3 linked regions of the Saccharomyces cerevisiae S288C genome follow. The gene in region 1 interacts genetically with each later gene. Each region holds a gene or a part of one and is shown in the gene's direction. Other genes may lie near its edges.

Region 1 (5,283 bases):
TATTCAGTGAATGGTGATAAAGGTACTCCACACTTACTTGGATCACTCTTGTGATCAATTTAAGATACCTATATGTGTAACCGTATTATGTAATTATGAAGTATAAGTCGTTGAAAGACTTATACTTTTTAGGCGTAATATCAGATGGAATCAAAGAAATTATAGAAAACAGTAGATCAGAGATCCTGCCTTTGGAATTCTGTAATTCAACATATGGAAAAATTGATGCGAAATCACAAGAGTACAGGGATAATTTGGTAATGTATCTCACTAGTTACCATTGTTTTGCTACGCGTACTATCTCGTTTCAATCACCTCTTCTATAATATTACTAAAAAATGTTCATATGTTATATGGCGTACCGATAAAGTTATTGCATTTCTCATGCGATTTTAACTTCCTTTTCAAGTCAAGGATACTTTGTGCAAGCGTAAATCCTTGCTCAATCTCCTCTGCTCAAAATGAAAAAAAAAAAAACGCAGAATCATATGCAGGATGCAATATTGCTTAAATGATTCTATATTTTGCACTTATGTGTGAAGAGTGTAATTTTTGATCTTCCATTTTAATGTTATGCACATAGAGCTGAAATTAAATGCGTCATATATAATTATTATGAGTGAGTGGATTTTGAGATAATTATTGGGAATTCATTATTGCTTGAGATAATATTATTACTTATACAGAATACACTAGAAGTGCTCCTCGGGGACATAGAGATCCATAAAAGGGAATCGATAATTCTACACATTAATCTGTTTTATTTCTTTATCTGTTTTACACGTTTTCATTCATTATCTTATTACAAAATCAGCCCTTGCGCTTCATGTTCCATTATACTCGCAGACTGTTTCTCATCATTTATCTCATCTTTAACTCCATTCAGTATATTATCTTAATAACGCGACTACTAGTAGTGAATAATGGTCAATTTTTACTTCAGAAACTTCCCTTGATTTCATTCATAGATGTTATTTCATTGTCAATTTTTACTCTTACTCACCGATTTGAATGACAGTAAAGAACTTTGCTCAATTAATATTATATTTGTTGTTATCGTCTAACGCTGTAAGTATATGGTACTATCATAAGAACCTCAGTAGTGGAATATGGTTGTTTCTTGTGCTGACATGATTCCGGATGGCCTGTAGGAAAGTATCCAAGATTTTTATTATCAGATACCGGTATGCATTCCATAATGCCAGAGTTTGCGTTCTTACGTCAAAGAACAATGATGCTACGGAGCGCAAGAAAGTGACGTGGCCAACTATCAGCGCGCTAGGATATGTATGCACTGCCGAAAGGCTGAAGCGTATCGTACATTAATTCATAAAGAGAAAGAAATCTCAACCCTGAATTTAGGATAGCGAAGTGCAATAAGAAAAACTTTACCATTGTTTTCAGGATGAATTCTATATCAGCCTGTTTATATAAACAATTTGACAATAGTGCGTAAAGCTAAAAAAGGAAGCATGCCCTTTGTTCCTTATCGGGTGGAGAGGGCCGCACTTAATCTCGAGCGGATATCAGGTACCAAAAGCCTAATTGAAGCAGGCAAATTTTTTTTCCCTATTTTCTTTTATTTGAGTGTGTACATACTAATATAAATTTGATCAAATAATGAATGCGATTAAAAATCAATATTGGCAAATGGAAAAAAATCTAATAGCGGCTAATAGTGAGACTTACATCGCTATAGATTGGTAATTAAACGAATTAAATAATAACAATTGAAAAAAAAAAAACTATCATGAGAGAATATACCAGTAAAAAAGAACTAAAGGAAGAGATTGAAAAAAAATATGAAAAATATGATGCAGAATTTGAAACAATCTCTGAATCTCAAAAAGACGAAAAAGTTGAAACAGTGGATAGAACACCCTCTGAAAACCTCTCTTATCAATTGGGCTGGGTTAATTTATTATTAGAGTGGGAAGCAAAGGAAATTGCTGGGTATAATGTGGAAACTCCTGCGCCTGGTTATAAATGGAACAATTTAGGAGGATTATACCAGTCATTTTATAAAAAATACGGAATCTACTCCATTAAGGAGCAAAGAGCCAAGCTGAGAGAGGCCGTAAACGAGGTCTATAAATGGATATCTACTTTATCTGATGATGAGCTCTTTCAAGCGGGAAATAGAAAATGGGCTACAACTAAAGCTATGTGGCCTGTGTATAAATGGATCCATATCAACACGGTTGCTCCTTTCACAAACTTTAGAGGAAAAATTAGAAAATGGAAGAGACTAGTGCCTGAAGAACAACGCATAAAAAGGAGGAAGATATAATGAGAAAGTTGTATATGGCCGTCTATTTTTTTTCTTGCAGGATTTAGAAACTACCACAGGAAAACCTTTTTTAATATCATATTTTTTGATATTATTATATTTGAGAAATGAATCTCGATTATTATGAGTCAATTTAACAAAACCTCATATAATGTACAGCAGTATAAAGACAAAACTCTCTTACGCTTACCATAGCCTCAATAACATGTCACAATACGAACTTTTTATGTTCTTCCCATATATTTTATTGTACTCTACACACACAGTATTGATCATATAGTTAATTTACCTTACTATACGCTAACCTTTAAAGCAACAAAGATATAGACGATACCATACATGAATGTCGATCAGAGACGTATGGTATAGCTTGTGTCACATTCTGCTATCGTATATGGTATACATGGCACATACTTTAAATTTTAAAGTAATGTCACTTGATTAAGATCTTTCCTATACGTCAAGGTCTCGAGATAAAACTTTATGTCTCAAATAATACATGCTAGGCATATAATGACCCATTTTCTGGAGTTGATGTACTCAAGACATTGGTTAAATATCAATCACGCATGATGATAGTGCGCCCTATTATAACCCATTTTTGTCATCGTCATCACGCTTCATCACCTGAGAAAAGTAACATACAAACTCAACGCCTACTAAGATTAATACATCAAAAACGATATCGTTGCCATGTACGTGCCCTAACTGCAGAAGAGAACTTCAACACTTGGACTAAAATTCACATGAAATTCTCCTAACATTCTAACATCGGTGACATCATTCCAAACCTCTTTGTAAAAGAATATATGAACAACATATGCATTAGAATAACGTGCCGTTAATTTTGCTCGAATTAACTTACCCCAGACTTGACAAAAATCTAAAAACTAACTACTCAGAAACACAAGCAAGCCTTGTGCATAAGAAAGATGTAAATCCATAGCATCAGCAGTTTCGAACTTGATACACCTCCAATTATTGCTTCATAAAGAATACATCTCCGTCTGGTAATGCGATGGCCCCGGTTTAGAGTACCCTTCTTGCGCAAGGTACTTGTGTGATAAGTAGCGCATTTTTTGCACATCACGTATGCTACTTTTGTATTCTTCACTAGCAGGCACTACAGTTGAAATAGAATTGAAGCTTGAAGTGTCGTATGGGTTATTCCGATTAGTTCACCTATTCGCATATTACGATTTTATAATCAGAGTGATATCAATGAGTATTATAACCTTTAAGTCATTGTGCTTATGCTATCTATAAACGTCCAGCGGCACATAATTCATCTATTTATGCAATTCCTACAATAAATGTTGATATCTTCATGGAAATTTCTTAAGCACAAACTTGTATTTAATATCCTGCATAAAGAAAACAGACATCTAGAAAACTTTCATAATTTTCAAAATAATCTTCCTTTATACACACTCTAGCGACCTGGGTTTACATTTCCGTGTATGATTGCTTTATATAATAGGACAATAAAGGAAAGTCGCTAGAAGAGAATATTATAGAAAGCTAAAGTGTTTAGAAACAGATGACTTAGAAGCACCTCTGTAATGTGGAGACAATGGTCTCAAGTTGGCGCATACATCAGTTTGCCACAGCGACAGAAGTATAACCGATTAACTCAACATGAAGGATCCTAGAATATACCGCAAGATTCGATTATCGATCGTCTACTACATCATAGTAGCAGTTAATATTACTAAAATACATGCATCTTTTGTATGATACATGATCAATATATATGATTATATTACTTCTTTCAGTTTAGCATTTTAAGGATATTAGCACCACAGGCAGAATCCCACTTTTTCAGTCTCTCATACTCTCTCAGTTTGATTGAGATTTAACAATATCAGCACATTTTAGAAGATGCTACAGTCAAATACCGCCTCATCTAAAGCATGTTCTACATATATCACAACGTCACGTTGAATAAGGCCATGTGACACGGGTTTCTGCCGGTCGACATTCCAAGCATTGTATTACAATCTTCTTTCATTATGACATACTATTGCATTTTCTAGGGAATATTCAAAGCTTGTCCATACCGAATATAAGCGATCACGTTTTGATTACCATTTTTTTTTTTACCTACTCTGTCTTTAATATTAGAACTATACATGGGTAAGATTGGTAGATGATAGTATATACCTATAATTACAGTTTCATAGAATGGAACTTTTAAATTTTATTCTAACTTTTATGAAATACCTTAAAGCGCAAAATACAGGCTGACAGGATAACCACAATGTCTCAAATCCCACCTGCATTAGCTATTTTTAATAATCAGTTCATTATTTCCATTTTCATGTATACGGTTACTATGCAATTAATGGTAATGCATATTCATTGGCGAAGGCAGATATCTCCAAAAGTTCATTCAGCACGAAAAAATGCACCGCACGCATCAAATGATGTTTTGAATTTTAGCACTTATGTTTAAAGACTATTCGTTGATAATCCATTGTTTCCACTATTTTCAAAATCTTACCAAATGACAGCTGAACTTGCCGGAAAGCAGGGTTTTTGTAAAAGTAATACCGTTCCTTGCAATTGCATACAGGCCATGAGTACTAAAAATACTGTGGTCATTTTATGCAATCACTAGACACTCAAGAAACTGTAGAAAAAGATATCAGCAGAATACAAAAAATCTTTAACGAATGATTGTATTGGAGATTTGGAGTCTTAAATAGCTATGTGGCATTTAATTGAGTCTATTGCATAGTTCCTTTGATTTTATGTACGCCCTCGCCACTATATTTCAATGATATAGTGATTCAACTTATAGAGTACATATCTGCTTAGGAGCAACATACTTGAATCATTTTTGTTAGCTACATTCCTTAAATGGTCGCTAGGGAGAGAATTTCTAAGCTATTCAATGATAAAAGCGGAAACAAATATTATCTTTTTACCGTTTGAGGTACTCCGAGCAATACTAGAACAACTAGCAACTTTCTTTTTGATGTTAAATAATT
Region 2 (5,233 bases), on another chromosome or scaffold:
ACGGAAGAATTGCTGTTGCTCCCTATGGAGGTACACTGAATGAATTGTGGCTAGACAGAGACCTAGGTATTGGTGGTCGCCTTCTTTACAAGAAGAAGGGCACTAACGAAATTAAAAGCGCCTTGGTTGATTCTACACCCCTACCTGTTTGTCGAATTCCTTCCTTGGCTCCCCATTTCGGTAAACCTGCTGAAGGCCCATTTGATAAAGAGGACCAAACTATCCCGGTCATCGGCTTCCCCACTCCGGATGAGGAAGGTAATGAACCTCCCACGGATGATGAAAAGAAATCGCCCTTATTTGGCAAACACTGCATCCACCTGTTAAGGTACGTTGCCAAATTAGCCGGTGTGGAAGTGTCCGAATTGATTCAAATGGATTTAGACTTATTCGATGTGCAAAAGGGTACCATTGGAGGTATTGGTAAACACTTCCTTTTTGCACCACGTCTAGATGACAGGTTGTGTAGTTTCGCAGCAATGATTGCTTTGATTTGCTACGCTAAGGATGTTAATACCGAGGAATCAGATTTATTCTCTACTGTCACTTTGTATGATAATGAAGAAATCGGATCGTTGACAAGACAAGGCGCAAAAGGTGGCTTGTTGGAGTCAGTGGTGGAACGCAGTTCTTCTGCATTCACTAAGAAACCGGTCGATTTGCATACGGTTTGGGCTAATTCCATCATCTTGTCCGCAGACGTCAACCACCTCTACAACCCAAACTTTCCTGAAGTCTATTTGAAGAATCATTTTCCAGTGCCTAATGTCGGAATCACTTTATCACTGGATCCTAACGGTCATATGGCCACAGATGTCGTAGGAACTGCCCTAGTAGAAGAATTAGCACGCCGCAATGGAGACAAAGTGCAATATTTCCAAATCAAAAACAACTCAAGATCAGGTGGTACTATCGGCCCATCATTGGCTTCTCAAACAGGTGCTCGTACCATAGACCTGGGAATTGCACAGTTGTCCATGCACAGCATCAGAGCTGCTACAGGGTCCAAGGATGTCGGATTAGGTGTTAAGTTCTTCAACGGATTTTTCAAGCACTGGAGATCAGTCTACGATGAATTCGGCGAGTTGTGATTTTGCCACACTCTTTTTATTTCTTTTGATTTCTGTTTCTTTATCCTTTTTCTAAAAATACTTTTATTTCGAATCAGGAAGAAAAGAAAAATGTATAAAAAAAAAAAAATAAAACACCACAATCGTCAAGATATAAATATCTATTTATAAATAAAACATCAAAAATACCTAAACCCCAAACATTCTACTAGGAAAGAATATTAACAGTAACCACGAACTATAAAAAATGCATTTGAACACCAATGTGGGCCTTGACAGCCGTATTAGATGAAACAAACCACATACTTTTCTTGATTAGCCAAGCATTCTTTCTTTTGTGACGCCGTCGATCACTCAAATATCAATCCGGGTAACGCGCGGCTCCCTACATTTTCTTCGATTTTTATCTTTTTTTCACAAATCGAAAACATTAGACTTCCTCTTTGGGAAATCGGATGCATTTTAGCGTTTCTGAGGCGACTTTTCCTCTTCTTAAAATATTTATTTAGTGTCTTACATTCGACCCTTTTCGCCTTTCTGCTTTATTTTTGGAACACGTACTTCTTTTCGCTTACAAGAAAGCATTCTCAGTCATCCATCACACTTATTTTCACTGCAAAGTTACAGAACCGGTGTCCTTTCCAACATCATAGTTATATAGTTGAGAAAAAGTGGACAAAAAGCCAGCATAAACAAGGAATAACTGTATTTCTTTTCTTATATAGTTATCAGGGCCAAATAAGCAATAAGTTCTCGAGCAAATCAACAGCAACTTTTATAAAAAAATGTGTGGTATCTTTGGTTACTGCAATTATCTAGTGGAAAGATCCAGAGGAGAAATTATCGACACCTTAGTGGATGGTTTACAAAGATTAGAATATAGAGGCTATGATTCCACCGGTATTGCTATCGATGGTGACGAAGCTGATTCTACTTTCATCTATAAGCAAATCGGTAAAGTGAGTGCTTTGAAAGAGGAGATTACTAAGCAAAATCCGAACAGAGACGTTACTTTTGTCTCTCATTGTGGTATTGCGCATACTAGATGGGCTACTCACGGTCGACCAGAACAAGTTAACTGTCACCCTCAAAGATCTGACCCAGAAGACCAATTTGTGGTCGTTCATAATGGTATCATCACAAATTTTAGAGAACTGAAGACTCTTTTAATTAACAAAGGTTATAAATTCGAAAGTGATACCGATACCGAGTGTATTGCTAAACTATATTTGCATTTATACAATACAAATTTACAAAATGGGCATGACTTAGATTTCCACGAATTAACCAAGCTAGTTCTTTTAGAACTAGAAGGTTCATACGGGTTATTATGTAAATCTTGTCACTATCCTAATGAGGTTATCGCCACTAGAAAAGGGTCCCCTTTACTGATTGGTGTCAAATCTGAAAAAAAACTAAAAGTCGACTTCGTGGATGTGGAATTTCCCGAAGAAAACGCTGGTCAACCGGAAATTCCATTGAAATCTAACAACAAATCATTTGGCTTGGGCCCAAAGAAAGCTCGTGAATTTGAAGCTGGTTCCCAAAATGCCAATTTACTACCAATTGCCGCCAATGAATTTAACTTGAGACATTCTCAATCCAGGGCTTTCCTATCAGAAGATGGATCTCCAACACCGGTGGAATTTTTTGTTTCTTCGGATGCGGCATCTGTTGTTAAACATACCAAGAAGGTGCTATTTTTAGAAGATGACGATTTGGCTCATATTTACGATGGTGAGTTACATATTCATAGATCTAGAAGAGAAGTAGGCGCATCAATGACAAGGTCCATTCAAACTTTAGAGATGGAGTTAGCTCAGATCATGAAGGGCCCTTACGACCATTTTATGCAAAAGGAAATCTATGAGCAACCAGAATCTACTTTCAATACTATGAGAGGTAGAATCGACTATGAAAATAATAAAGTGATATTGGGTGGTTTAAAGGCATGGTTACCAGTTGTCAGAAGAGCACGGAGACTGATCATGATCGCATGCGGTACTTCTTATCATTCATGTTTGGCTACTCGTGCTATCTTCGAAGAATTATCAGATATCCCAGTTAGTGTGGAATTAGCGTCTGACTTTCTGGACAGAAAATGCCCTGTCTTCAGAGACGATGTATGCGTGTTTGTTTCACAAAGTGGTGAAACTGCGGATACCATGCTGGCTCTAAATTATTGTTTAGAAAGAGGAGCCTTAACTGTCGGAATTGTTAACAGTGTTGGTTCTTCTATCTCTCGTGTCACCCACTGTGGTGTTCATATTAACGCTGGTCCTGAAATTGGTGTTGCCTCTACAAAAGCTTATACTTCCCAGTATATTGCCTTAGTGATGTTTGCTCTATCGCTGTCAGATGACCGTGTATCGAAAATAGACAGAAGAATTGAAATCATTCAAGGCTTGAAGTTAATCCCGGGCCAAATTAAGCAGGTATTAAAGCTGGAACCAAGAATAAAAAAGCTCTGTGCGACTGAATTAAAGGATCAAAAATCTCTATTGTTATTGGGTAGAGGTTACCAATTTGCTGCTGCTCTGGAAGGTGCTTTGAAGATCAAAGAAATTTCTTATATGCATTCTGAAGGTGTTTTGGCAGGTGAGTTGAAGCACGGTGTCTTGGCCTTGGTGGACGAAAACTTGCCAATCATTGCTTTTGGTACCAGAGACTCTCTATTCCCTAAAGTAGTTTCCTCTATTGAGCAAGTTACTGCAAGAAAGGGCCATCCAATTATTATTTGTAACGAAAATGATGAAGTGTGGGCGCAAAAATCTAAATCAATCGACCTGCAAACCTTAGAAGTTCCACAAACTGTTGATTGTTTACAAGGTCTAATTAATATTATTCCATTACAACTAATGTCATATTGGTTGGCTGTTAATAAAGGGATTGATGTTGATTTTCCAAGAAACTTGGCTAAATCTGTTACCGTCGAATAAATTAACCCTTTTACTTTCTCTTCGTCCCCCAGCCTCCCATCCGTCTTTCTACTATCACTTCTCCTTCGCTTTTAATTTTTGAACTTCCATTATTCTGCAATGCGCACTACAAGCTGGCGTTAAAGATGATTCCACTTGTATTCTCTATATAAATAAAAAATTATATTTTATATGAATAACCAAAAAGATAGTTGCAGCCCTAAATTAGACCTGCTAAATAAATGTGTTCTAACTTTGTTACAATTTTTAAACCATATAACTTCCTTCTTGTAAGTCCTCTAAAATAATATTAAACCCTATCCTGAGTTGGGCCCTGCGTTTTACCCGCAGGAATAGGCCCGATGATTGATTATCCACATCAACTTTTGGTGAAATTCGAGAGAAAATAAATGGGAAGTGAACGAGCAATAGGCAATCAACAAAAAAAAAAAAGGGTTAGGAAATTCGCTATTGTAAAGAGGCAATTTTTAAAATTTAGAGTGAAAATCGCCATTCCATCTTCTTCATATTCTTCGTTCAAATTACACAATTATTGCGGGAGGAAATAGCATTTATTAACCCTAATAATCAACATAAGGCAGATAGCTCTGAAAGAGGCAAGTATCAACAAATAGTGGGAGCATTGGAAATAGCGGGATGATCCAAGAAAGTAGTCCAGATGCCTTAGCAGCAGCAGCAGCAATTGGAAATGCGCTCAGTTATAATGGGAGGACCGTTGACAAGAGTAAAATACCGCAATACAATCAGAGTTTTACCTCTCGAACTACGTCAATCGCAGGGATTAATAGGTATACAATGCTCTCGAATTCTAGGACTAACTCAAGGATGCTCTTAATGAATGGTAACGTTCGCCAATACTCTAAGCGCACGTCGAGTTTGCCAAACCAAGGACATAAGAATACCTCTAATAATTCGGCGGGGAGAAGGCAACACAGGGCTCACGAGGATGCAGAAACCACGTTTCGAGAATTTGGAGGCAAGCAGTCATCGAAGGTTTTAAACATTTCAAGTTCGACTGGTCAGAATAGTAAATCAAGGACCACATCACTTGGGAACTCAGGCAGCACAATAAGGACGATAAAAAAATACATACCAGGCCCTAGGGGGTTAATGGCTGTGGAAGTACCCGTGGAAGTAGAGCCTCCTAGATACAGTCTGAGCAACCGCTCAAACCAACGAGGTGGTAGAGCATATTCTTTGCCTACTCGAAACAACAAAACTAGT
Region 3 (6,083 bases), 1.2 Mb from region 1:
TTTTTTCTACGGTAAGCTTGGATATAACAGATTCGTGATTAATAATCTCAGAGTACTTTTTATGAGTTAAGTCGGATAACTCTCTAAAACCCTTCTCTAAGTCTTGAATTTCCTTTATTAATGCATCTTGAGTCGACGAGGATTTTGTATCGTTTGATCTTTGATCAATTTTTGTCCATTGCTCCTTCAAAATATCAATTGCATGTTGTAAATCGCTCAACACTTCAGTCTTGGATTTTTCAGCTTCCAAAATGGCGATTTTGCTTAGTAAATCATCACGAGCCGTTCTTATTCTTACAACGTCCTTTTCCAATGAACTGTTCATTTCTACTAGGGAGTCGAGACTTTTCTGGAATTCTTCTCGGACCTTCTTCGTATATATTTCTTTCTCTTTGGCTAAAACTTGAAATTTTGATAAAAAGGAACTATTGATCTCAGATAATTCTGCGTTTTGTTCAGTCAAATGTTGAATTTTTGCTAACAGGGACTCATGGTCATATGACTTGAAATCTGGGTCTTGGTCTGCTGCTGCTATCTGTTGCTTTTTTAAATTGGATACCTCAGAACGTGTTTTGATGAGCTCTTCCTCGTTTTCCCTTCTGATATTTTCAAGGTCTTTTATAGTGGAACTCAAGGAGTTTATCTCTGCCCGTAAATCAGAAAATTTCAGATCCAATTCTAATTTTTCATTCTCAGCATCTTCTTTTCGTTCATCCTCCGCCTGCACAAGTTCATCACCTTTCTCGGATTTTTTGGATGTATTATCACCATTAATTGCAGAGGAGTCTTTATTTCCAGATTTTATATTGTTTTCATTAGATTCTTTTTCATCTTCCCGTAATTCCTTTACAGCATCAGTCTTATCTTCCTTAAAAACACGTTTTATAGTAAAGGATTCATCTCTATCATACTTGCGAATTATATTTGTATAATATTCCTTCAAAGCAGAAATCTCCTCTGTCAATTGCGAATTTTCATAAAAGAGCTCCTCTTTACTTTTCCGCAAGTTTTTTAACTCCGTTGTTAATTCTTGAATATGATCCGAAGCATTACTATTAGTATTACTATCTGTCGTGTTTGGCTTCCCATATTTAGTCAGTAGCTTCATGAAAGAATCACTGCGCTGAACTATCAACGTCTCATCGCCTTGGGCTATTTCCCTACATAGTTGCTTCTCGTTGGCGTCTGTGCAGAATGTTTCGATAAACCTAGCTAAAGTTACTATCAGCGCCATAATATTTGCCAACTTGCGGGAAACATCTATGCACTCCCTTCTTGAAAGTTCATATTGCTTTCGCAAGGCTTCAAAGTCGACTCTTCGACGATTTATACATCTAAACAAAGCTTCTTTTTGAAACGCTATCACATCAGATTGAGTAAGCGGTTCACTAGGATCGCTTAATTCTAGCTTGATCTTCTTAGTAGCAGGCTCGGCCGTCATATCTGATTATTATCAGCTAGCACGATTAGCATAAAAACGGTGAAAGCCCTTTCTATCTCTGTTAAAAACCTTGGGGCGCTCTCTGTTAGTTTACCGTTCAAACAACATCCATCCAACTTTTTTTAATCTTCTTCTTTTTTGTTTTTTCGCCTTCTTTAAGAAAGTTTCGTTGGATGTGATTATAATCACGTGATCAAATGCTTTTGTCACTTTTATATAATAACGATGGTTTGATCAAAGTACGATCAGTTGGTGCTTCATTTCAAAGTTAGAAGACATCCTTAGTGCCTATTGTCGATCTGCTCTTTCTTTTTGAATCCACTGAAATTAACGATCTCAGAATTTCACCAGTGATTTTCCCAATATTATCTTTCGTGGGTAGAGAAACAATTCTGAACTCGATTGTGCTTCGTATGCTATATACGCATTGTTGTAGCACTAAAGATCATATTGCTCATTAAGCATGGGTCCTGCCATACATAATCAACTATATGAATGTGGATTAAAGACTACGTCTCAAGATGGCTTCTTGATGGACAATTATGAAACTCAATTATTTCAATCGTTGAACAGGTTTATCAATTTCATAAACAATGCTAATCAGTCAGCTAGTAATAAAGAACAAAATACAAAATTTTGCAAATCCTCCTCAAATTTTTTACGCTTGAAACTACTAACGGTTCTAAGACAATGGTGTGATTCTTCACGAAGCAACTGTACACTGGAGGTTAGAGATGTTTTGACCCAATGGTGGGTCACACTTTTAAACTTTCTAAATTCTGACACCTCGCTTCAAATAGATACTGCCCTTGAATTGAGCTTGAGCATAGAACTAACTTCCGTGTGTCTCGAGTGCCTCAGCAAAATTATGACCATACTAATAATATTGCCTTTCCATTCATCCAGAGACATGGAAATATACTCACATCATCTTTTGCTGACCATTCATTGCATAACAAACAAGTTGATTTTGATTTCTAAAAACTCCAAAAAACTTAAACGTACAAATAGTGATGACAAGTGCTCTATAAACGACAAGAAGCTGCAATACCTTAACAAATATTCTTCCTTGCTGCGAGCATTCATCGGGAAGTTAAATGCTTACGCATTTTTTTATCTACCAGAAGACTTTCATTTCGATACAATTTTGTTATTGACAGTTTCTCCTCAAATCTCTTCAAGTATTCAAACATCTTTGTTTTCATGGAAGAAGAGACAATATAAATTCACCGACGATCAGGGACAAATGATCCGCACTGAAGCTTTTGAAAATAAAGATACTAAATTTTTTAAGATCATTGTTTCTTATATTAAAAATGATTTTGTACTTATGTCATTTTATTGGCACTATTGGTATATCATACTTCAATTTATGAAATTCTCTGATTCAGATGTAGGAATTAAAAAATCGACATTGTCATGCATACCTGGCTCAGAAATTTTATTGACGCATGTAACCACTAGATTCTTGAATTCAGATTTGAATAAATTCACGCGGATTATTAAACAAACGCCGAATCCAAGGATAGCAAATGAGAATGTGACAGAGTCACATCCAAATTTCAAGAGTTTGAATAGTAGCAATGCTTTAATTACATCTGAAAGGATTAATGATTACGTATTTTCTAATTTTAAGACAATCAAATTATGGGAATGTCTTAGAAGCCTTTCAGGATGCATTCTTAAAGAAAATCATCCGGAATACCTGGAAAATATGCTTTCCTTACATGAGTCTCTATTGATAGACTATGTCTCCACTATTTCAGCGTACGATTATATTGCAGCGAACGTCATTTACAATAAGGTTCTCCAGTTTATTATTTTCCAGTTTGAAAGTTTACCTTCTCTGAAATTCATTCAATGGAGGTCGTGGTACAATGGGCTTTTGAGTATGTTAAGGACCAAAAATGTTAACTGCCAGACTGTTTCTTTATTATGCCTTTTCAATATTTGGAAGCACGTAACCATTGAGGACCGCGATGAAATAGTAAAAGTGCTGTTAAGTGATTTTTGGGAGTCATTGATTTTTGAAAACGAATTTCCTTTGATTAGAATTTTATTTATGAAGGTATTAGTTTTTAAAATCATTCCAAGTGTTCAAAATTCTTCTTCATTACGATTCTTGCCACATGATAGAATTAAACAACTATATGAAGAGCTACTGGTAAACAAGGAGGAGTTATTTGAGATGCAAAAACACGATTCAAATGATATAGTGGCGCATAGAAAGAATGCTCTCGTTTTTAATGGTAACTCACGTTTGATGATGATTCCAAAAAAACCAAATACAGAGGACCACTTAGTTTATAAGATTAATCATGATAAAAATTTAACTACAGAAAGATTTCCCTCTGTCAGCTCAGTGGCAAATACAAGACCTAACGTTATCTTGAAAAATGGTAAATACGCTTATGATATTTTGGACGAAATGACAAGTAAAGCTGCCTTTCTTCTTGCAGAAAAGAAGACCCGACTAAATCCCAAAAAAAATCACAAAATTATGGATGGCTACGAAGGAGGTCAGGAAAACGAAGATAATGATGAAGACTCAGAAGATAGTGGCTCGCATAAAAATAAGAGAAAGGAAGGTAATAGTTCTTTATCGGCAACACTGAACACTTGGCTTTCAAAATTTTCAAGTACTTCTGAAGATTCACAGAAGAAGAAGGAACAGGCAAATGAATTAGGCAACGATTTTGAATATGATGAAGATGTGGCTGATTTTGCAGAAATTTTGCCGAAGCAGTCATCTAGTAATATTGAAAAAATTTTTAAGCATGGTAACAATTCAGGATCAATGGTATCATATAATTCAAGTATCAAGCTCAATAGGAGGGAGAATATATTGATAGGTCCACCAGAGTTGAGATTTTCTAATGAAATCAAGGAACACAATAGTATTGCTACAATATTCAAACTGGTATTTATTCAAACCAATAGAAGAGTCGTCGAAAAAATAGATTTGGCGAACATGAAATGGGGGACAATCCACGGAGGCAGTAAGTACATGAAGCCTTTACCCGTCCCGAAAGATTTGGTTGCGAGTGTTGCTAAGAACGAAAGTGAGACGAGAAACTTAGCTACCTTATGCGGTAATGGTCTAGATTTTGAGATACCGGTGCCTGATTTTAATATTTTTGGCAAATGTATGGAAGATGAGCAAGATGTAGCCAAAATTGGTAATCAGAATGTGGAAGATTTGAAAGTTACTGGGGGGCGGGAGGTGACAATTTGGAAGCAGATCCAAGATATGAAGTTGAGAACAAGGATACAAAAAATCTGTGTTTTAATTGAGACGTTCAATGCTACAGTAAGAGAATATTTTGAGTTTTCCAATCGATTAGAGCATGACGGTATATTTATAGATTTTGAAGTGAGGAAACCTAGTAGTAATAATTCTATTAATATCAAAGTCTGAATAATAGAATGAGTTACATACGTAAACGTGTAGTATTATTATTATTATTCTATTTCCTTTCCGTTTTTATTATTTATATATATATATATATATATATATATTTGGGTGTTTATATTTAGGTAGGGCATAAGGATTTACTGTCGGCATGAACCTACTTGAACAAAAAAATAAAAATCAAAAGAAAAATAATGTAGGCTTTTGCACATCGACTATATATAAATATATATATACACACTTCTGTGCAGAAGAAAAGGAATAAAACGTCAAACTAATTTATTTCTTCTTGCAACGATTCCGACTTCTCCTTTAAACGTGCAATTTCGTCATCGATGTCCTGAATTTTCTTCAATAGTTCAAAATTTTTCTCATCGCCGTGGTCATCCTTGGAAGCGCCGGATTGAGCAGCAGCTTCGGCAGTAACAGAGTCGTTCTTCTTGACATCGCTGGAGGCTACTGGAGGCGATGCTCTGTATATGTCTTTCATGGTTAAAAGTTCTATGACTAGCCCAAAAGTCCTAACGACGACAAAGGTCAAAAACAAAGTTATACCTGTCAAATACATATTCCTTTGGGCAAAGAATTTCCTAGAAAGAACCTCAATTCTATCTTGAGCGATTATAGCGCCATTATTTTGAGAGGCGCTACTTAACTGCAGCTCTTTGTCGATGCTGTACACTCTGTTGATACAATCGATGAAAAGCAAAAGAATGAACCCAAGTACACACTTGATCGCAACTTGCACTGTGGAGGATTTGAACGGCTTTAATAACAGTAAGGTGAGAGGCCTACGGTATCTAGAAGGGATTGGTAGGGCTAGAATGGAGAACATGAAAATCTCCACCACTAGAATGGCAAAAACCAAGGTGTAATATAATGACATGATTCAATTCTGTGAATTCTATGGTTATGAGTATAATGTGACGTGGTTACCTTGGAAGAGCTCACTATTCTATCTTCCTACTAAATCGGGATTTGCTATATACCATTGTTATATACGGCACTTTTCCACTCTTCTTCCCCTTAATGGAGTGAAGCAGGCAGGGTGACCCTCTAGCTAAAAAAAGAAAGAGGCGAAAAAAGAGTGCAACGTCAACAACGCTAAAAGAGAAAGGGAGAAACGCGCAAGTGTTTACGCATAGAGGGTGAACAGGAGCAAGAGCATTTTGATAGCACACAGACTTTTAATAATAAAGCGGCAGAGAATGACTCAAATAAATGCGCGAT

The links. Genes that interact genetically often act in the same process or in processes that back each other up.
Region 2: mutations in IRC4 (region 1) and GFA1 together harm fitness more than expected from each alone (negative genetic interaction), as found in Saccharomyces cerevisiae (one large-scale study listed by BioGRID).
Region 3: mutations in IRC4 (region 1) and AHK1 together harm fitness more than expected from each alone (negative genetic interaction), as found in Saccharomyces cerevisiae (one large-scale study listed by BioGRID).

The regions. Positions count from the first base shown.
Region 1 is NC_001136.10:1,514,143-1,519,425, reverse strand, and holds IRC4 (Irc4p), read left to right. Parts: upstream 1-1,750; coding exon 1,751-2,290; downstream 2,291-5,283.
Region 2 is NC_001143.9:241,996-247,228, reverse strand, and holds GFA1 (glutamine--fructose-6-phosphate transaminase (isomerizing) GFA1), read left to right. Parts: upstream 1-1,855; coding exon 1,856-4,009; downstream 4,010-5,233. Other genes in the region: metalloaminopeptidase APE1, read left to right, coding at 1-1,091; YKL104W-A (uncharacterized protein), read right to left, coding at 1,943-2,197; SEG2 (Seg2p), read left to right, coding at 4,646-5,233. UniProt on the Saccharomyces cerevisiae protein: Involved in amino sugar synthesis (formation of chitin, supplies the amino sugars of asparagine-linked oligosaccharides of glycoproteins).
Region 3 is NC_001136.10:324,709-330,791, forward strand, and holds AHK1 (Ahk1p), read left to right. Parts: upstream 1-1,904; coding exon 1,905-4,859; downstream 4,860-6,083. Other genes in the region: E3 ubiquitin-protein ligase BRE1, read right to left, coding at 1-1,441; YET3 (Yet3p), read right to left, coding at 5,128-5,739.